Linked DNA regions of Arabidopsis thaliana. The protein of the gene in region 2 interacts with the protein of the main gene of each other region in a pairwise test. Each region holds a gene or a part of one and is shown on either strand. Other genes may lie near its edges.

Region 1 (11,969 bases), on a different chromosome or scaffold from region 2:
ACAATAAAAATCATAGAACAATATACAACGCATCATCATCCTACTACAAGTCAGAATTTTGCAATCCACGAAGCAGAATAGTAAACGGGGAAGAAGATAAAGAGGTGCTCAGATCATAATACCTCTCATGTAATTAATCGAGCACCTTTCCGTACTCTGGTTTGGTCCAAGCTGCATAGGATACAGGGCGCGCCCACGGTATGGTTTACCCAGTGGGTGAGATCCAGTGCCGGTTTAGGTCAACGAGGTAGTAAAAATCCAGACTTGTGTGTGTCGTCTTGGAGAGCTTCACTAGTTATCTGTGTCCAAGCATTTCTCAAGGGTTTTACTACTGGTACACTCCTGAAGAGCCTTGGCATTGAGTTCTCTGCCAAATCTCCAGACATAATTGAGGCCTACGAGAAGCTCGGTAATGATGGCTTCTGTCTTCTGCTGGTTTGCAAAGAAAAGGGTTTGTGCAAGAACTATGTGCGTCCTTGAAACCAAGCTTTGGTGCTCGTAACTCCGCTCAGATTGCCATTTTATCATGTTGTGAGCTAATGGACCCAACCATTCCAAGATACCCGCCATTGCGTCTGTCCATTCTCTTGCTAGGCCTGGATCATAAACTGTGGAAGAACTCAAGTTTTTCGAGTAAGGTTTTAGCCTTTCTCTAAGCGATGTTCTCACGCTCGCCGGTAACATGTTGTAAAGGTCGTCTCTTGCATCATCTCCTATCAAGTGAGGAGACGCAACAAATCTCTCTATCACGATGATGACATTAGCATAGTGTAATGCTAAGCAAGCGGTACCAAGGGTATTAGGAGCAGCATCTGACAGCTTGGGTCGGGAAGGAAGTGTCAAGTTTTCAACGTGAACAGAGTTAGAATTATCTTCAAGAATGTGATGCTCAGCACTACTATTCCTAGCTCCATTCCGGGCCCTAGTGCTGAGAGGCGTAATCCCATCGTGAGACACCATACAGCCTTTAAATGGGCCAACCTGTGTTAATCGGTTGGCTTTCAATTGCTTTTTCACTGAGGAAATTGAAGGCCTTTCCGGGGTCTGCCCCATCTTCTTGTTGTTTTTGCCCATTCCGATAAGTGGTCCTGATTTGGAGGTGATCTTCCCAAGCTGACCAGAGTAAAACTTGAAACGTTTGTGTTTTTCTGCAACAAGAGGACCTGACTTAGGTGATTCGGCGCTGAGAGAACCCGAAAGGAAATCACTCATCTTCGTGGACCTTGTAGCAGCTGAACCCGATGCTGGACCGGTAAATCTTCCAAGGGGGCCAGAAGCAAATCTAGGAAGACCACTAGACTCAGATTTATGAGATACAGGAGTTAAAATAGTAGAAACGGAGTGGCTGCGGCCAATAAAATCAGAATCTGCAGAGCTAACATCACTTGCTTCCACTCTGTAACTAATGCCAAAAACATGTTTAGTCCTGCTAAGGATTGTGAAAACTGATCTAACCAAGAGAATGACGGTATAGTCATAAGTACGGTTCCAAAGAGACACATCCCGCAGATTCTTCACTTCGTGTCTTTTCCATGTAACTTTTTTCTGATACTCCAAAAGATTGTCAGTAGCAGATTCATTGCTCTTCATTCTCTTGAAAGTCTGTTCAAGATCAGCAAGAATCTCAGTCTCCTGGTAGAGACTAGCATTAGATGATATGAAACGTTCCATTTTCTTAGCTTTCTTATCCATTTTCTTCCACCCAAACTGCCAACCATAAGGGTCAGCTCCAGTCTTCATCATATCACTAAAACAATTCTCAAAGCACTTCAACTTGGGATCGTTGCATTTCCTCGCAAGCCTAGCCACAGCTTTCGCTACATTCTCAACGTTCTCCATCATTTCATCACGTATTAACCTCACAATAAAATCATCATCTTCTGAAACTAACTTCTTTATACCAGTGGAATGTGTAATCTCGTCCCTAAGCCTTGCAACATTCTTATCACTTAATGACTGCCACAAATGAACAAGCTTCGACAACAAACTCGCAACCTCAAACGCTAATACTCCTAGAACCGCCTTATCTTTATGACCATCATGTTTCTTTGGAAACCTCCACAGATTACGAAACCAAGTCTCTGAAACCATCTTCTCTCAACCTGCAATAAACCAATACTATCAACACCAAAAAGCTTCCAAATTTCACAATAAAAAACCAGACCCACGATTGAAATCTCAAGAAAACAGCAAGAAGTAACTCGTACACAAGCAAAAAGGAATTGAAATTGGGGAAATCTAGCTACAGAGCTCAAGTTAGAGAGAAACGCCCAAATTCAACCAACCCTCTAAATCGGTTCTCGAAGCTTAAAGCTACCAACATCGAATTTAGTAAAAGACCCATGATTTGAAATTGGAATTGTCGGCAAAATCGAGAAGATATAGAGCCGACACGGGAACAGTGAAAACCACAAAGCGCGTAAGAATGAAACAGTGGGAGAAGGAAGAGAGAATCTTACCGATCATTCGAGGGAAAAGATGGGAATCAGAGAAAAATCTGGAAAAAAAGAAATTAAGAGAAAGAGAGAGAAGAAAGTGAGGAGGAAGATGCAGTGAAGACTGCTATAGCCACATCCCACATGGTGTGATGAGAGAGAGAGAGAGAGAGGTTAAAGCAGCAAATTGTGGAGAGATAAAGAGAGAGAGAGACTGAGCGAGTCAAGTTCGTCGTCGTGTTTAAAAGAAAGAATCCTATATTTGCCTTTTTCTTTACTACTTTATTTTCAGACTATTTGCTTATTTTGCCTCAAACTTTTTTGATTGTCACTTTTCGATCCTAAAGTGTTTGACAATTTACCTGCCTTTTTCTCCAAGAAAAATCAGAACAGACCACAGCAAATTTATGTATTTTCTATTAAAAAAGAAAGAAAGAATTCATATTACTTATAGAATTAAAAGCTAAGCAGTTGAAAACGTGAAAGCAGAATTTCTAAAAAAAATAGTAAACTGCTACAAACTTATTTATGTGTATATAACATATCTATAAAGAAACTCAAATATATGATAAATCATTTTAACAAAATTTCTATGAAATTATAATAAAAAAAGTCACTTTTGACACTTAAAAGGTTGACAATAACCGTCTCTCCAAAAAAAAATCAAAACATTTATAATTTCTAAAACTATGGTGTAATTTTGCTGAAATCAAAAAGAAAAGAAGGATTTCTATATCATAAGTTTCATTATTGTATCAAACTTTCAAATTTCATGTAATTTGAAAGGAAAAAAATTAAGATATAATGTTGTTTTTGTTTCTTATGTTACATTTTCATGGAATATATATTCATAACAAAAAATGTATTTTAATATGATGAGAGATTACCATCCAAAAGGTCGAACTTATATAAAACAAGTTAATAACTAAACAATACATGTGATCACAATCAATGACAGTTTTGATCTTAAAATAGAAATGATTGAGCAAACCTCAAAAATGTCTTCTTAGGATCACAAAATCTTTCCTTTAGCTTATTAAAGCCGGGAGTTCAACTCTCTCTCCCTTGTAGACTTTTTGTTTTCAAATCTTTTTCTTTCAAAAAATCAATAATTAGTTAATGGGCATAATATTTGGTTTTAATTAAGTCCATAGATTTTTTAGGACCATCTCTAATCACGACAAATATCCTAAATTGTAACACATTTAAAACTTAAAAGTATTGCATTCACAATCCTTAAAATATATATATATATATATATATATATATATATATATATATATGAAAGTTATATAGAAACGATAACTCCTTACTCAACAATTAGCCCAAAAAAACATCCATAATGCATTTAAACTAGGAATTTTAACAAACTCAAATAGGTTGGTAGTTAAAAAAAAACAAATAGTAGATGTACATACGTACCTTTAAAAATATATACTCATATCGAAAGTTTTAAATTTTGCGAAATTAAATACATTTATCTATCAATTAAAATACATTTAATAATGCATAATTCTGTAATATCTATCTTTAATTTCCATATAGAACCAAAACAAAATAAACATATCAAATAGTTTTAACTTAACAAAAACGTTAGGGAAAAGTTGACCTAACTAGCTTGATTGACGTTGAACTTGTCAATGCGAAAGCGATATTTCCAATATATACTACATGTAGTATTATTTATATGGAAGTTTCTAAAAAGGTGTTGAGTGGATTGTTACTTGTTGGAGGATGCTATTTTTTCCTTCTTGCCATAATATTTTACGAGTATGGGATAACTACATACTCATGATTATGAAACGCTCACTTTATTTGAAAAACCTCCTAATACACCAAATATGTCACTAGATTCCAAAACGTAGACCAATTGTATCTAATCTCAAATTCTCAATCAAAGTATTAATTTACCGATGGTAAGAAAAGTTAACCGATATAATTATCAAAAGAAAGAATAAGTCAACAGATTCTTAATCTCTTTATTTTGGTATATGAACATTTGTACAAAAATCTCAAAAGATATGTAACTGTTTAAAATATAAATTCACTGAGATTAATTCTTCAGACTCGTGTTAGCTATAATAATGTCAAGAGTTCTTCTTGTTTCAAGGAAAAACCTTAAAGATATGTATATTTTCTGTAATTATGATGATATAATTTGCTATTCATTGTCACAAACATTACTTTAAAAAATCGTATTTTCATTACTACAATGTTGACTAAGAACAAAAATACATTGATTATTGATATATCGTCAACTGAATTTTCTTCCGAGGGATATAATTCTCAAACATAGCAAGAATCTCATAATAATGTTTCGTGACTACCTTTAGACGAAATTTTTTTAAGATTCGTAACGTGACTTATGGTCTCTTGCTGTGGGGGTCAATGCGAATAAATCTAAATGTATGGGAGTCAAATAAAATACCAAGAAAAATAAAGGAGCAGCACCCAATAAACTATATGGGACCAGAAATCCTTTCATTGGTTTAAAATAGGATTATCCCGAAAGATGAAGGACTAAATTGAAACTGATTGGGGGTAGGAAGAGATCCGTCACAATCATTAATGGCTTCCACGCGGAAACTTGTCGTTTATACAATTTCATTAACTTTCGGGTCGGGTTTATATTCCAAATGGGTCAAATAATATTAGTTTAATACACTAACGGAGTAATTAATTGGTGACTACAATTTTATCAGTTTGGTGCAATTAGAAACGAACATAGTCGTAAAATACGAGTTCGGTGTTATACCTTTATTTACGTTAAAAAAATACGAGAATTTTGTGTCAAATTTCAAATTAATTTCATGAATATATGGAAATTATTAGATACTCTAGCGAAAATAGTGATTATGAGCGTTTTACAAAAATACGATTTTAGCATTGAACTTCCTTTATGTAATTCGGTCAAATGTTGGCATGAAGAAGCAAGTTTGCAACATTAAATTTCATTTAAAAATCGTGTTGACATACTTTAAAATCTAAATATAGGAAGAAGACCAAAACATTAAATTTAGTAAGATTCTAATGAACATTTATAAGTTATAACTTATAACCAACAAAAGTTGGGTTTAGCGTTGTTGCTTTATCTGAAAACTTGCAAACTAAACCATTTTAATAGGACTAATGACAATTAACAACAAAATACACTTAAGCAACAACGTCCTCGTGAATATAATTTGGGCCTCAGGCCCATATTGCTAACGCCAACTGATATTTCACTTTATTCCTTCTTCATCTCACCACACTCTCTCTCTATCTCTATCTCTAACGGCATAGCTGACTCAGTGTTCTCCGGCATTGACTCGCCTGAGAATCAGAAAGCTTAGATCGGTGAGCTTTTAGCTCCATTTTCTGTTTATTTACATATTATTTCCTTTTTTTCTCTCTCCCTTTTTTATCTGGAATTTGTTCTGCTAAATTTTCCAGCTGTTACATTTTCCGATCACGAGAAGAATCACTGGGTTTTTATGTTAATCAATACATGTTCCTGTTTTCTGATCATAAATCTCAGCTATTAACACCTGATTTTGATTCTGCGTAATAAAAACCTCTGATTTGCTTTTATCTTCACTTTCCCCATAAACATTGCTTACTTTATTCGCTCTTCTTTTACCGTTTCCAGCTAAAAAATTCTTCGCTATTCAATGTGTTTCTCGTTTTGTTGATGAGAAAAATATCTGACAAAAAATCATTTATTGCATTTTATGGTGCAGATTCTTAGTTAATGTCGCCTTCTCTAACCAAGTCAGATTAAAAAGGAGTGTTCGTCCATGTTGCTTTGTTTTGGTGTTTGGAGAGAGTTTTCGGAGAGTTAGGTGAGTGTTATTTGGGGTGAGGTAGTGATAAGGTTTGAAGGGGGAGTGATTCATCAAGTGTGTTATGAATTCGAGGGCTGATCCGGGGGATAGATATTTTCGAGTTCCTTTGGAGAATCAAACTCAACAAGAGTTCATGGGTTCTTGGATTCCATTTACACCCAAAAAACCTAGATCAAGTCTGATGGTAGATGAGAGAGTGATAAACCAGGATCTAAATGGGTTTCCAGGTGGTGAATTTGTAGACAGGGGATTCTGCAACACTGGTGTGGATCATAATGGGGTTTTTGATCATGGTGCTCATCAGGGCGTTACCAACTTAAGTATGATGATCAATAGCTTAGCGGGATCACATGCACAAGCTTGGAGTAATAGTGAGAGAGATCTTTTGGGCAGGAGTGAGGTGACTTCTCCTTTAGCACCAGTTATCAGAAACACCACCGGTAATGTAGAGCCGGTCAATGGAAATTTTACTTCAGATGTGGGTATGGTAAATGGTCCTTTCACCCAGAGTGGCACTTCTCAAGCTGGCTATAATGAGTTTGAATTGGATGACTTGTTGAATCCTGATCAGATGCCCTTCTCCTTCACAAGCTTGCTGAGTGGTGGGGATAGCTTATTCAAGGTTCGTCAATGTGAGTGATCAAATCTATTTTCAGTTTTTTTTTTTCCCTTTCTTCCGTTCTTGCAGTACTTAGAGTAGAACATGAATTAGAATATCTTAAGAAAGTCATGGTTTTGAACAGATGGACCTCCAGCGTGTAACAAGCCTCTTTACAATTTGAATTCACCAATTAGAAGAGAAGCAGTTGGGTCAGTCTGTGAAAGTTCGTTTCAATATGTACCGTCAACGCCCAGTCTGTTCAGAACAGGTGAAAAGACTGGATTCCTTGAACAGATAGTTACAACTACTGGACATGAAATCCCAGAGCCGAAATCTGACAAAAGTATGCAGAGCATTATGGACTCGTCTGCTGTTAATGCGACGGAAGCTACTGAACAAAATGATGGCAGCAGACAAGATGTTCTGGAGTTCGACCTTAACAAAACTCCTCAGCAGAAACCCTCCAAAAGGAAAAGGAAGTTCATGCCCAAGGTGGTCGTGGAAGGCAAACCTAAAAGAAAGCCACGCAAACCTGCAGAACTTCCCAAAGTGGTCGTGGAAGGCAAACCTAAAAGGAAGCCACGCAAAGCTGCAACTCAGGAAAAAGTGAAATCTAAAGAAACCGGGAGTGCCAAAAAGAAAAATTTGAAAGAATCAGCAACTAAAAAGCCAGCCAATGTTGGAGATATGAGCAACAAAAGCCCTGAAGTCACACTCAAAAGTTGCAGAAAAGCTTTGAATTTTGACTTGGAGAATCCTGGAGATGCGAGGCAAGGTGACTCTGAGTCTGAAATTGTCCAGAACAGTAGTGGCGCAAACTCGTTTTCTGAGATCAGAGATGCCATTGGTGGAACTAATGGTAGTTTCCTGGATTCAGTGTCACAAATAGACAAGACCAATGGATTGGGGGCTATGAACCAGCCACTTGAAGTGTCAATGGGAAACCAGCCAGATAAACTATCTACAGGAGCGAAACTGGCCAGAGACCAACAACCTGATTTATTGACTAGAAACCAGCAATGCCAGTTCCCAGTGGCAACCCAGAACACCCAGTTCCCAATGGAAAACCAACAAGCTTGGCTTCAGATGAAAAACCAACTTATTGGCTTTCCATTTGGTAACCAGCAACCTCGCATGACCATAAGAAACCAGCAGCCTTGCTTGGCCATGGGTAATCAACAACCTATGTATCTGATAGGAACTCCACGGCCTGCATTAGTAAGTGGAAACCAGCAACTAGGAGGTCCCCAAGGAAACAAGCGGCCTATATTTTTGAATCACCAGACTTGTTTACCTGCTGGAAATCAGCTATATGGATCACCTACAGACATGCATCAACTTGTTATGTCAACCGGAGGGCAACAACATGGACTACTGATAAAAAACCAGCAACCTGGATCATTAATAAGAGGCCAGCAGCCTTGCGTACCTTTGATTGACCAGCAACCTGCAACTCCAAAAGGTTTTACTCACTTGAATCAGATGGTAGCTACCAGCATGTCATCGCCTGGGCTTCGACCTCATTCTCAGTCACAAGTTCCTACAACATATCTACATGTGGAATCTGTTTCCAGGATTTTGAATGGGACTACAGGTACATGCCAGAGAAGCAGGGCTCCTGCATACGATTCTTTACAGCAAGATATCCATCAAGGAAATAAGTACATACTTTCTCATGAGATATCCAATGGTAATGGGTGCAAGAAAGCGTTACCTCAAAACTCTTCTCTGCCAACTCCAATTATGGCTAAACTTGAGGAAGCCAGGGGCTCGAAGAGACAGTATCATCGTGCAATGGGACAGACGGAAAAGCATGATCTAAACTTAGCTCAACAGATTGCTCAATCACAAGATGTGGAGAGACATAACAGCAGCACGTGTGTGGAATATTTAGATGCTGCAAAGAAAACGAAAATCCAGAAAGTAGTCCAAGAAAATTTGCATGGCATGCCACCTGAGGTTATAGAAATCGAGGATGATCCAACTGATGGGGCAAGAAAAGGTAAAAATACTGCCAGCATCAGTAAAGGTGCATCTAAAGGAAACTCGTCTCCAGTTAAAAAGACAGCAGAAAAGGAGAAATGTATTGTCCCAAAAACGCCTGCAAAAAAGGGTCGAGCAGGTAGAAAAAAATCAGTACCTCCGCCTGCTCATGCCTCAGAGATCCAGCTTTGGCAACCTACTCCTCCAAAGACACCTTTATCAAGAAGCAAGCCTAAAGGAAAAGGGAGAAAGTCCATACAAGATTCAGGAAAAGCAAGAGGTAACTAATGTATTCTACAATCTCTGTGATATAATTTTGAGATTTTAGTAACTGATGTGTCCAAACCAGCTCCTTATCACTGTTGGTGCGTTGTATAGGTCCATCAGGAGAACTTCTGTGTCAGGATTCTATTGCGGAAATAATTTACAGGATGCAAAATCTGTATCTAGGAGACAAAGAAAGAGAACAAGAGCAAAATGCAATGGTCTTGTACAAAGGAGATGGTGCACTTGTTCCCTATGAGAGCAAGAAGCGAAAACCAAGACCCAAAGTTGACATTGACGATGAAACAACTCGCATATGGAACTTACTGATGGGGAAAGGAGATGAAAAAGAAGGGGATGAAGAGAAGGATAAAAAGAAAGAGAAGTGGTGGGAAGAAGAAAGAAGAGTCTTCCGAGGAAGGGCTGATTCCTTCATCGCTCGCATGCACCTGGTACAAGGTGAAGATCCACTTCTCTTCTCAACTCCATTTTTATTCACACAAATTAGTAGAATACTCAAAAATGATGTTTTGTTTGCAAAATTTTAAAATTCACTAGTTAACCATGTCAAATAATATTCATAATGCATCTTGTGAAGAACAGGTGTGCATTTATGGTGACAGCTGAATGGTTTATGTGCCTATTATTTCTTTTACTGCTATAGATGACCAATTGAACTTAAACGTTTACAGGAGATAGACGTTTTTCGCCATGGAAGGGATCGGTGGTTGATTCGGTCATTGGAGTTTTCCTTACACAGAATGTCTCGGATCACCTTTCAAGGTATATGAGTTGCCTTAATAAATTGAGTTCCAAAACATAGAAATTAACCCATGGTGGTTTTACAATGCAGCTCTGCGTTCATGTCTCTAGCTGCTCGATTCCCTCCAAAATTAAGCAGCAGCCGAGAAGATGAAAGGAATGTTAGAAGCGTAGTTGTTGAAGATCCAGAAGGATGCATTCTGAACTTAAATGAAATTCCTTCGTGGCAGGAAAAGGTTCAACATCCATCTGACATGGAAGTTTCTGGGGTTGATAGTGGATCAAAAGAGCAGCTAAGGGACTGTTCAAACTCTGGAATTGAAAGATTTAATTTCTTAGAGAAGAGTATTCAAAATTTAGAAGAGGAAGTATTATCATCACAAGATTCTTTTGATCCGGCGATATTTCAGTCGTGTGGGAGAGTTGGATCCTGTTCATGTTCCAAATCAGACGCAGAGTTTCCTACAACCAGGTGTGAAACAAAAACTGTCAGTGGAACATCACAATCAGTGCAAACTGGGAGCCCAAACTTGTCTGATGAAATTTGTCTTCAAGGGAATGAGAGACCGCATCTATATGAAGGATCTGGTGATGTTCAGAAACAAGAAACTACAAATGTCGCTCAGAAGAAACCTGATCTTGAAAAAACAATGAATTGGAAAGACTCTGTCTGTTTTGGTCAGCCAAGAAATGATACTAATTGGCAAACAACTCCTTCCAGCAGCTATGAGCAGTGTGCGACTCGACAGCCACATGTACTAGACATAGAGGATTTTGGAATGCAAGGTGAAGGCCTTGGTTATTCTTGGATGTCCATCTCACCAAGAGTTGACAGAGTAAAGAACAAAAATGTACCACGCAGGTTTTTCAGACAAGGTGGAAGTGTTCCAAGAGAATTCACAGGTCAGATCATACCATCAACGCCTCATGAATTACCAGGAATGGGATTGTCCGGTTCCTCAAGCGCCGTCCAAGAACACCAGGACGATACCCAACATAATCAACAAGATGAGATGAATAAAGCATCCCATTTACAAAAAACATTTTTGGATCTGCTCAACTCCTCTGAAGAATGCCTTACAAGACAGTCCAGTACCAAACAGAACATCACGGATGGCTGTCTACCGAGAGATAGAACTGCTGAAGACGTGGTTGATCCGCTCAGTAACAATTCAAGCTTACAGAACATATTGGTCGAATCAAATTCCAGCAATAAAGAGCAGACGGCAGTTGAATACAAGGAGACAAATGCCACTATTTTACGAGAGATGAAAGGGACGCTTGCTGATGGGAAAAAGCCTACAAGCCAGTGGGATAGTCTCAGAAAAGATGTGGAGGGGAATGAAGGGAGACAGGAACGAAACAAAAACAATATGGATTCCATAGACTATGAAGCAATAAGACGTGCTAGTATCAGCGAGATTTCTGAGGCTATCAAGGAAAGAGGGATGAATAACATGTTGGCCGTACGAATTAAGGTAAATCTACTAATTTCAGTTGAGACCCTCATCAAATCTGTCAGAAGGCTTGAACATCAGTAAATTATGTAACCATATTTACAACATTGCAGGATTTCCTAGAACGGATAGTTAAAGATCATGGTGGTATCGACCTTGAATGGTTGAGAGAATCTCCTCCTGATAAAGCCAAGTGGGTAAATCACATTTTTAGTGACTGCAACACTAGCACGATCGATTTACTCAACAATTACGTCAAACTGAGTATTAACAAGTTGCTCATGAACATTTCACAGGGACTATCTCTTGAGCATAAGAGGTCTGGGTTTGAAAAGTGTTGAATGCGTGCGACTCTTAACACTCCACAATCTTGCTTTCCCTGTGAGTCAGACTATTCCATTATCTACTAAAAACTTAGAATAACTCCGGCTAACTAAGCTGGAACTTGTATTGATGATATGAAGGTTGACACGAATGTTGGAAGGATAGCAGTTAGGATGGGATGGGTGCCTCTACAACCCCTACCTGAATCACTTCAGTTACACCTCCTGGAGCTGTAAGTTTCTTTTTGTTTGTCATCTAAACAACGAAATTTTTATGCAAGTCATAACCATGCTGTGTTTTCACAGATACCCAGTGCTCG
Region 2 (10,370 bases):
CCGGCTCGAGTCAGATGAGAATGCACCGCCCCAGGTACTTGTGTTTCTACTTTGGTGGGGACAAAACATTTTTGTTTTAATTAGGGCTTCTTGTCTCTTGGGCTCTTTCGTGAGGCACATGCTAACTTTTAGGTGAAAGTCCATTAATACTTATATTCAATCAGAAAAAAGAAAGTAAAAGTCTCTCCTAAACTAGTATCAAATTTCAGTCTCACGTCAATTTTTATTATAAATATTTTGACCATTGCAGAATTTTACAGTTTTCCACTAACCAAAAACAGAAAAGTTCAATCACATTTCCTTTTGAAGTAGTAAACATGTAAACTTTTGTCTCGTTTATAACAATTATAAATTATTTAATCCCTTTTGTAGTAATCTTTCGCATATATATTTGTACGCTAGCAATTTCCTCTATAGAAAATGATCTATATATGTTTGTAGTATATATTGTTTATGATTATAGTTGTGCTTGTTTTTTCAATATCTTAAAGTCAATAAAGTTCAAAAGTGAAACTCTATTAGATTGCATGAGTATGTACCTATACATTTCACTAGCTTTCTTATTTTTGGTCTCACACTTTTCAAGCATGTCCTTATGTGTGTTTCACTAAAATCTAACTGCCTTTTCTCCATCTTTTTGTTTGCATTGGCCTTATGTATTATATGATTCTTTACCAATTTTTGAAACATCAATTCAAGCCAAAGATTCTATTTACATGTCATGTCTTCTTATGATCATTTTTGTGCATATATGTGTTTTAGGAAGAAGGATGGGTGGTTTGTAGAGCATTCAAAAAAAGAGCTACAGGGCAAGCCAAGAACACGGAAACTTGGAGCTCAAGTTACTTTTACGATGAAGTTGCACCGAATGGAGTTAACTCGGTTATGGACCCCATTGATTACATATCTAAGCAGCAACATAACATTTTTGGGAAAGGTTTGATGTGTAAGCAAGAACTAGAAGGAATGGTTGATGGTATAAACTATATACAATCGAATCAATTCATTCAGCTCCCACAACTCCAAAGCCCTTCTCTCCCGCTGATGAAAAGACCTTCAAGCTCGATGTCCATAACATCAATGGATAACAATTACAACTATAAACTCCCATTAGCGGATGAAGAAAGCTTCGAGTCATTCATAAGAGGAGAGGATAGAAGGAAGAAGAAAAAGCAAGTAATGATGACGGGAAATTGGAGAGAGTTAGACAAGTTTGTTGCTTCACAACTTATGAGCCAAGAAGACAATGGAACTTCAAGTTTCGCAGGTCATCATATAGTTAATGAAGATAAAAACAACAATGATGTGGAGATGGATTCGTCAATGTTTTTGAGCGAAAGAGAAGAAGAAAACAGGTTCGTCAGTGAATTCTTGAGTACAAACTCGGATTATGATATTGGGATTTGCGTATTTGATAATTGAATGAAACTACATAGATGGCATGTGAGATTTGTTGGTACGTTTACTTACACTTATATGAAAATATTAACAATATAACTAATAAAGAAAATTAAACATATGGTTTAGCCATGTCTAGTTTTATGAAAAGAATGTGTTAGGGTTGTGAATGAGTGAGGATATAAATCTATATTACGTTACGTACTATTTATATTCGAGTTTGAGTGACTAGGTCAGAGTTATTGTTACGTTATGAGGGTATGAATTGTGAGGTTTTCTAAATTTTTTAATTATAGTTAGTTTTATAGAGATGATTTAAGGGGCCATTAATTAAGTATAGTTAGAAATCAGAATAAGAAATCATTGTTGTGGGGCAAGGAGATGTCGAGCGTGCGGTGTGCACAACGGGGCTCCGTTGGGCATGCTTTGTCGTCCACAATACCAACGAGACTTTGGGAGCAAGAGTCTTCAATTTAAAACTTTATTTTATCTCATATGAATCTTTTTTTAATCTTGATTCACTTGGAAATTTTATTATATTATAAATGTTAGATGTTGGTTCTCAAATCTCATGCAATCTTTTCAAATTGTGGGAATATCAATACCAAACTAACAAAAATAAAGAAAACCCATGTATTGTAAACAAAAACTCAAAAAGTGAACTATCAAAATTAAAGATTATGTTAGCTGCGTGCATCGGTTATATTTCAGATCATTCAGTAATCTCTCCAAAACAAACTCGCAAACATCCGCTTAAAACGAGGACACCTTCCTTAGTATATATATAGTTCCGCAAACTTTAGTTGCTCCAAACTCTCTATTTTACTCTTTGAGCTAGACTACATTATATTTACGCTTTAAAGAATGTCTTCAATGCATTGGTAGGCACTATATTTCAAAGGCATTGGTCTTGAGAAGATGTTGATTGACCGAAAGGAGGAGCTAATGATGCTCTAAGGAGGAGCGCTGTTTGATCCTCAAGGTAAGTTACAAAGACTGAAACCGTTATCTAACTGTGCATATTTCGACTACCTAAGTAACGGATCGTTTACAACTGTGTCTAATTGTATTCGCTACTTTTAGGTACTGGCTTACGAAACATTGATAATCTAGTTGAATGTCACAAATATTTTGAACTCAAAGACATCATGATAAACTTTATAGCTCCAAGCAAACCAAATACATAGAATTTTTTACTCTCTTAGCTCAAATGAATAAAACTGAAAAGTATCTATTTTTGTATTCATTACTAAACCATATAGAGATGTTGGTTTACACGCGAAGAGTTGTAGTGTTTGTACTAACGATTACATATGAACCAATATGTTTTGTTAAAACATCTGTATGGGCTCCGTGTAATCACTAACTTGGGCCGTTTCAAAAGTCTTTAGGCCCCATCTTAGTCATACATAAGTATTAGGCGTTTTTTCTTTTCAATTCAACGACTTAGATAAAATACATAATTAGCATTTAGTTAACCAACCCCCAACTAGAAATAATTACTCGAATTTGTTTCGCCTTCGTTTCTTCGATTCTTTGAACAAATAATAGATATCAACCCAAGTAAAAATCTATCTATTTAGAGTATATTACATGGTAGTACTGGTTATACATCCGAAGACTCTTTACTCTTACACCCAAAAGAGACCACACCAAACCAAAACAAAGTCATCATCCATTTACAGAGACAACAAAAAACCTTATTCTTCATATTCACACACAGTTCCATCTTCTTCTCCTCCTCCTCAGTGATCAAGCAGCGGAAGCTTTCATGGCCTTCTTCTTACCAACTGAAGATTTGATAGACTTAGGCTGTCTCGCCTTCTTCACTTTCCTCTTCTTTTCTTGTTTGTTCACAGACACAGTCTTCTTAGGCCTTGTCGAAGAAGACCTAGTCCTCTTTGTGATCTCTTTATCTTCTTGCTTCATATTCTTCTTATTCTTCTTGTCCTGCTGCCTCGTTATCATCTTGGTGGTATCTGAGAGCTTGTAAGAGGCTCTGATCTTCACGAGCTTACCTTTAGCAACAGAGTTTTTAAGCTGTAGAGAAAGTGTTTTACGGAAACTCTCTGGAAGTAAAGACTTGTGTTTCTCCTCTATCTTCTTAGCTATAGCATAAGGGCTTGATCCGTTCTTCTCTTTCAGGACCATCAAAGCCTCTTTTATCATCTTCATCAAAAACCAAAACGAAAAAACTAAGTTTAATAGATAGGAACTCAAAAGAAAAAGTTAGAACCTCACCTGAAAGTATGGAGGATGAGTGGTGGTTTTCGGTTTTCGCGGCTTCTTCGCCGCCGGAGTCTTCTTTAAGATCTTGTCTTCTGCCATTAGAGGATTAGTGAAAGTGTTGCTTTGCTTGTCTTGTCTCTATCTGTTAAATTTTTTCGTGCTAGCTTATTTATAGCGCAGGGAAGTGTATTCGTGTGTTTTCTGTATTCGTTATGGTTTTTGTCAGAGGATCGATTACGTGTGCATTAATAAATCATGAGCGTACACGTGTCGTTTAAGTAATGGCTGGATTCCATGTGTTTATCCGAGAAACACACTTGGTGGCGGTGATCGTCCTTTACTCTTACTAGGCATTTTGTGAACGAGTGTGTTTTCTACTGAAACACAAAATAAGTTCTTATTCTTAATAACGTAGACGCAGTTATTAGGCCAAATAATTGGTTAAATTTGGTTTAATGAAAAAATTGATGGGAGAAAGTTTAAACCAGAGCTTTGTTCGTCATCTTATTTGATTTTTAAAATTGTTAGCTCACAAAAATTGCGATATGTGTCAAATTTACTAATACAATATTTTTTTTGGTCGGTATTTACTAATACGATATTTACATGTGTTTCAAATTTTATTACATTTAAAAACAAAAATAGAAAAAAATCCTTAACCCTATCAAAAAAAAAATATATACATAAAACAATTGTTTATATATTCAATTTTTTATATTTAATATATTAAACTAAACTCATTCTATTAATAATTGTTGATCTATTCAAAACATAAATAAAATTCCCCATTTTGTTCTTAAAAAGAAGTGTTTTAATATTTTTAAATATTGTAACTTAAATATGTTTATCTTTTTATTTTCTTAATTTTGTTTTATTTTCTTCTTCTCAGTTATATCGTTCTATTTATTTACCACATTTACCGAGAGGCTTTGCTTGGTCCAACTTTTTCTTTAGTTTTTAACAATATGGTTTTAGAAAAGGTAAGATTGAAATTTGGTTTTAGAAAATATATATTAAATAAAATATATATAGATTATCATTTGAAAAATTTATTAAAACAAAAATTTATTTATTTTTCACATCTACCTATTTAGAGAGGTTTTATCTAGTAAAGTTATTAACCGTTCGCAAATTTTGTGTTACGACATATATAAACAATTTATGAAAAATTGCAAGACTAAATTAATTACGGAGTTAATGTTTCAAGGTGTTATTCATTATAATTGAAAAATGAGTAAGTATTGAACCCAAATACAACTATGTTATTATTGTATCATCGTTTTTTTCTTTTTGGAGTATAACATGTAGAGTAAGCTACAATTTCAATAAATAAGTTGAAAAGAAAAAAATCATAGATTTTTAAAACTAAGCTAAAACTCTATTTTGGTATAGGAGGAGTTGCACCCACAATTCTTGAGCATTGTTCCTTTAGCATCGGAGGGAAAAACAGAATGAATGGAATTTTCGGCATGGAATTGACTTCAGCGTCCAACAATGCTTTACAACAAGATGGACCTAAATTGCCGAATTTTCCAGTGAAAATAGATTGAGAAACCTCTACAATGCATCCAGGAATATCCATCACGGATGACCAACATTTTGTTATGTCAGGTAATCCTGACATACCAGGAATCGGTTCGAATAGAAATGAAAAAGGAAATGGAGCCGGAAACTGAGGCATCTAAGCATTTACAGAAACGATGATGCATAGAACCGCTAGGAGTGAAAGCATATTTTTTATAGACATAATGAGAAATTGAGTAAAAAGAACCTTAGTATAGCCAAATATATGCTGAAGGTTATATTTGCTTTTGATTGATGAACAACAATAAGACTTTTGATTATTTATATGGAATGAAATGTGAAACTATGACATTAATTATCTTACTTTAACATCTTTGGATGCTTTAATTAGAAATTTCAATAGTTGTTTTATAAGTATAAATAGAGTTGAAACTCCAAGAAAACAAGTAACATTAACTTGGAAATATTGACTACAAAGAGCAATAAAAGTGTAACCGGCTTCACATAATTAATCAGTTACCAGTATATATCTCAAAATTTAAACCAATAAACCGATTTATTCGAATTTTCTAGAGAAAATTATTTGAATCCTTAAATCCCATACAATGGAGTTCTGCATGACTTGTTTAAAATAAAAACCTGTTTAGATTAATTGCTAAATGGCTCTAACCTTAAATGTTGTTAAGAAAAGTCAAAAACCTAGACATCCCGCTCAGAACCTACTAAACTGGTTTAAACATTGAATTACGCCTAACAGTAAACGATTTCTCAAATATTAAGAGTGGAGACGAGAGCCAAAGACTATCAAGAGTTTAAGAGCAAAATGACAACACACAAGATGCCAGAATGTTGCAGTAAGACCATGACAAAGATACTGAAATGTGATTATACAAGTCACTGTCTACGACAGGGAGTGCTTATGAAGCCTTTAAGAAGAAATGAGATAGCTTGTCTGATTTTATCATATGTTTGAGTTGTATCAAATTCGTAGACAGATTCAGAATCAAAACCACAATAACAATAACCTTGAATTAAATTCTTCTTATTCTTCTTCTTCTATGTTCTTCTGGTCAAGAAGAGAAGGGAAACGAAGCAGGCACCTTCAATACATTTTCTATCAGATCAGATAAGGTCAAGCTGTTCTCTTAATGATGTGGACTCCACTGTCTGTATCGACAATGTCGCTTATATCTCCAACCTTGAGCGCGTAAGTTGCTTCCTCAAATGGTTTCTGCATTTGACCTCTACCAAAGGAACCTGAACAGGGATGGACAAATCAACATAAGATTTATGAGCACAAATTATAGATTCATCAAGAAAGAAACTCTATGTGGGAGATGATCTACGAAGATGTTAGTAAACTTGATGAGCACCAATTATAAATCATCACGAGGAAAACATGGGTAGTGATCTAAGTGGACATTAGTAAGATTTATGAGCACCGATTATGGATTCATCAAGGAATACACTTTAGATTATAAACATAGTTATGCTCTAAGCAAACAGTAGTAAGATTTACGAGCACCAACTAAAGATACATCAAGGAATAAACTTTAGTTTCTAATCATCGATGTTGATCTAAGTGGACAATAGTAAGACTTGTGAGCACCGATATAGATTCATCAAGGAAGATAAACTTTAGACTCTCAACATCGGTGATTATCTAAACAGACATTAGTGAGATTAACGAGAGCCAAGAATAGATTTATTAAGGAATATGAAGAAGCTAAACATTAATGATGATAGAAGCTAGAGATTAGTAAAATTTCTGAGCACCAACTAAAGATTTATCAAGCTAGAAACTATAGATTCTAAACATTAGTGATGACTATAAACACATCGAGGAAGAACTGTGAGATTCTAAACATCACTAATGATCTAAGCTATGATCATTATGCTCAATTTCACTGTAAAGAGTTAGATCCAATAGAATCCAGTTAACAAGCTTTCTACTCCTTCAACAAACATCACTTGAGACTATACAGATTAACTTCATTTCCTAAAATCTTAATTGCCACTAGATCTAACCCTAAGTTCAATCATCCTAAACCTAAACTCGCTGATCTAGAGATTAGGGATAAGAACAAACCAAGATCACCGCCGCGTTTAGCAGAGCTACAGTCAGAAACACGAGTCGCCACTTCTTCGAAATTCGCCTTGCCGGAGACAATATCTTCACGGATCGATTTAAGCTGCTCAACGGCGGCTTCTCTAGTGGTAGTCAGAATAATCTTCCCTTCTGGATCCTTCCACGACGCTTTCCTCCGAGAACCTTGATGCTTAATCAAAATGTGCGATGCCTTAACTTGGTCTCTCGACGCCATCTTGCTCTTCTTTCGATGCTTGTTGTGATGATGGTCTTTCTTCTCCTTCGATGTTCGATCTGTGGAGGAGACCGAATCGTTCTTTCGCTTCCGATCTGAATCTATCTTCGTTGATTTTGGGAAAAGTGTTTTTGCGGCTCTGCTTCACTATTTTTGCTTTACCCTAATGATTATCGACGATTGAAACTGTGAGACGAAATCACCACAGATATTTTGGTATCTACGAAATCGCCCCAGATCTTTCAGCAGATTCAAAATGCTCCCGGATCTTTCGGTATATTCGAAACCACCACGGATCGCCCAGTATATGATGAAACCGCCTCGGATCTTTCGGTATTTATGAAATAACCCTGGAACTTTTGATTTTTTAAAAATCACACCCAAACTTACAATATTTACTATAAAAATCCCAAATCGTTATTATTGACAAATCACCCCAGAACTTTCTTTGTATTTGCGAAAATACCAACTGATGATACTAAGATGTAAAGGATTCATAAAAAGCATATTCTATGTGAGAGATTGGCAATCAAAGTATATCATATATATATATATATATATATATATATATATATATATATATATATAATATCAATGAATTGGTAATCAATACCATAATGATACAATGAAAGTCTAACTGAATCTTCTTACAAGAAAACAAAAAGCATATACTATTTGAGAGATCTTAAAAGAAACAAGACAAAACGCTGAACAATCACCACTCAAGGGGCAAGAGTAAGACATAAACATTGTTGTGACCAAATTCCTGGCCAAAAGAATGAACCAAAACTTACATCTGAGACTAAGCAATCAAATCCAAGAACGCGAAGATCTCACAAGGCTTATATATTAGATGTCTCTCAAGACGGGCCAACCTTTTCTAATGATCTCATTAACTCTAGAGTCGATATGTTTCTGGATTCTAGGCGGGCAGAGCTCGGCTGCGTAACCGTTTAGTTTTGTGGCTAGAGCTGATCTCTCAAGCTCTTCTTCTACCATGTTTCCAATTAGCTGAATAAGAAATGGATGTTGTTTCAGCTCGAACTTCTGCAAATACAGAAATTCAAGAGAAGATTGATTTTCTTAATCGTTTATCCTCTAATAAACAGCCGTGATATGAATGGAAGATGCAGAGAGACTTAAAGCTGAACCTGGTGATCAGGCTCTGCGCGATAAAACGTTCCTAGCTGTTGAATTTGAGTGGTCACGATACTGCTTCTTGTATTAAGTTGCTCCCTTTCTTTGCTGGTAGAAGCCAGTCTCAATTCTTCTGTAGAATTAGTGAAAATACAGGATCTGTTCAAAAAGATTCCCATGTTTTAGATTTGGTCCAAACAAACAAACTCAAAGATAAGCATCAGCTATTTACTTGCTCTTTTACCTGTATTGATTACCCACATCAGGACCTTGTCCAAACACTTGTCTAGAATCATGACTAGACCAAAATACATCTAAGAGCTGACGATAACCAATTATCCTTGGATCATATTCAACCTGAAGACAATTACAGAGCAAGAGCAACACAAATCTTTAAGCTCCTCAAACACTAAGTCAGATGAACAAAGACAATTTAGTTTAACTTCAATCAGACAATCACATATACACTAAGATCACACATAACCAAATTTCAACAAAACAACCTAATCAGCTAATGAATGATGATATTCACATAAAGCATTCTCCAATTTTATTATCCAAACGAAATCTGTTAAGTAGAGCAAATCAAATCGAACAACATAGGCACTGATCAAATCAAATCATATCAGCTAAACATCGAATAAACGAAGTAAACATTGGCTCAATCCTCAAAATTGAAACAATAAAACCAACCTGTACGGACTCGGCGTGATCACCTAAGTTCCTATACTCCGGATTCGTCTTCGTTCCACCGGCGTAACCGGCGGAGGTTCGTACGACGCCATTGATACAACCAAACGCCGCCTCCGATCTCCAGAAGCTTCCAAGAGCGAAAACCGCAGATTTCAAAGGACGATCGGGAGAATCAACGACAGTATCCGAGATCTGATTCGAAATCCTGATGGATACAGTTTTATCGAGCAGAGAGACACACAAGAAGAAGAAGAAGACGAGATTCGTATAAGGAATGAAGAAACGGTTCCTCTTCAGTGATATAGCCATTACACAGTTTTCGTCTAGCTGCTGTTTCGAACCAGGGAACGAAACTCCATATGAACGAACAACCTGTAGTCGATTGAGTCGAGTCGCTCAAAAAGTCACGCCATGGCTCCACCTCCATTAAACTCTGTCTTTGAGAGTTGAGACCCTCTGATTCATTTAGAGGGTTCGCTGCATGATTATTGAAAAAGAAGTGATTTAGATTACTTTATTTCGGCTAACAATTAAGGCATGATTCCTTTTGGTAGGAGCGAGGTACCAATATCGCGACTCGAACCGTGGTGAGACTCTCTCATCATGCTGAGTCTCAACCGCTTTTACCAGTTAGCAATTGGTGACCATATTTCTACTTAGTTGATACTTAAAGACGTTTTAAACATATAACCAAATACTCGGTTTGATACGGTTCGTTTAAATATTAAAATTATTCGGTCGAGAACAATAATCAAAACTTGCGATGATAACTTTTTACAATTTGCAATAATACTTTAAACTTTTCGAGAGAGAAGACAAAGATTATCATAAAAATGTTTACAATTTGAGAACAAGGTCCAAACGGATATATATACATATAAAAGAGAAGCAAATGTTTTTTTTTAATTTATTTATTGTTTAACAACCCTAGTGGCGGCTGAAGCAGCAGCTTGACCTCTCCTCCTAGCAGCAATAAGACCTTCTGTCCGAACCTACGCACCTCTGCGACTGAGAGTTTGTGACATATGTGGTGATGGAAGAGAAAATTTGACATGAGGGATAAGC

The links.
Region 1: the proteins of HIS1-3 (region 2) and DME interact in a two-hybrid assay, tested with the Arabidopsis thaliana proteins (one study listed by BioGRID).

What each region holds. Positions count from the first base shown.
Region 1 is NC_003076.8:1,303,466-1,315,434, forward strand, and holds the start of DME (HhH-GPD base excision DNA repair family protein), read left to right. Parts: upstream 1-5,648; 5' UTR 5,649-5,771; exon of another isoform or gene 5,772-6,154; 5' UTR 6,155-6,320; coding exon 6,321-6,891; exon of another isoform or gene 6,892-7,002; coding exon 7,003-9,123; intron 9,124-9,221; coding exon 9,222-9,566; intron 9,567-9,799; coding exon 9,800-9,890; intron 9,891-9,960; coding exon 9,961-11,347; intron 11,348-11,439; coding exon 11,440-11,519; intron 11,520-11,622; coding exon 11,623-11,707; intron 11,708-11,790; coding exon 11,791-11,882; intron 11,883-11,955; coding exon 11,956-11,969. Other genes in the region: AT5G04550 (type-1 restriction enzyme mjaxp r protein (DUF668)), read right to left, coding at 292-2,091. UniProt on the Arabidopsis thaliana protein: Transcriptional activator involved in gene imprinting. Catalyzes the release of 5-methylcytosine (5-meC) from DNA by a glycosylase/lyase mechanism.
Region 2 is NC_003071.7:7,839,451-7,849,820, reverse strand, and holds HIS1-3 (histone H1-3), read right to left. Parts: upstream 3,823-10,370; 5' UTR 3,727-3,822; coding exon 3,640-3,726; intron 3,568-3,639; coding exon 3,151-3,567; 3' UTR 2,790-3,150; downstream 1-2,789. Other genes in the region: VND1 (vascular related NAC-domain protein 1), read left to right, coding at 1-34, 763-1,422; PIN1AT (peptidylprolyl cis/trans isomerase, NIMA-interacting 1), read right to left, coding at 6,284-6,408, 7,241-7,475; MSRA5 (Peptide methionine sulfoxide reductase family protein), read right to left, coding at 8,325-8,522, 8,627-8,771, 8,857-8,969, 9,306-9,614.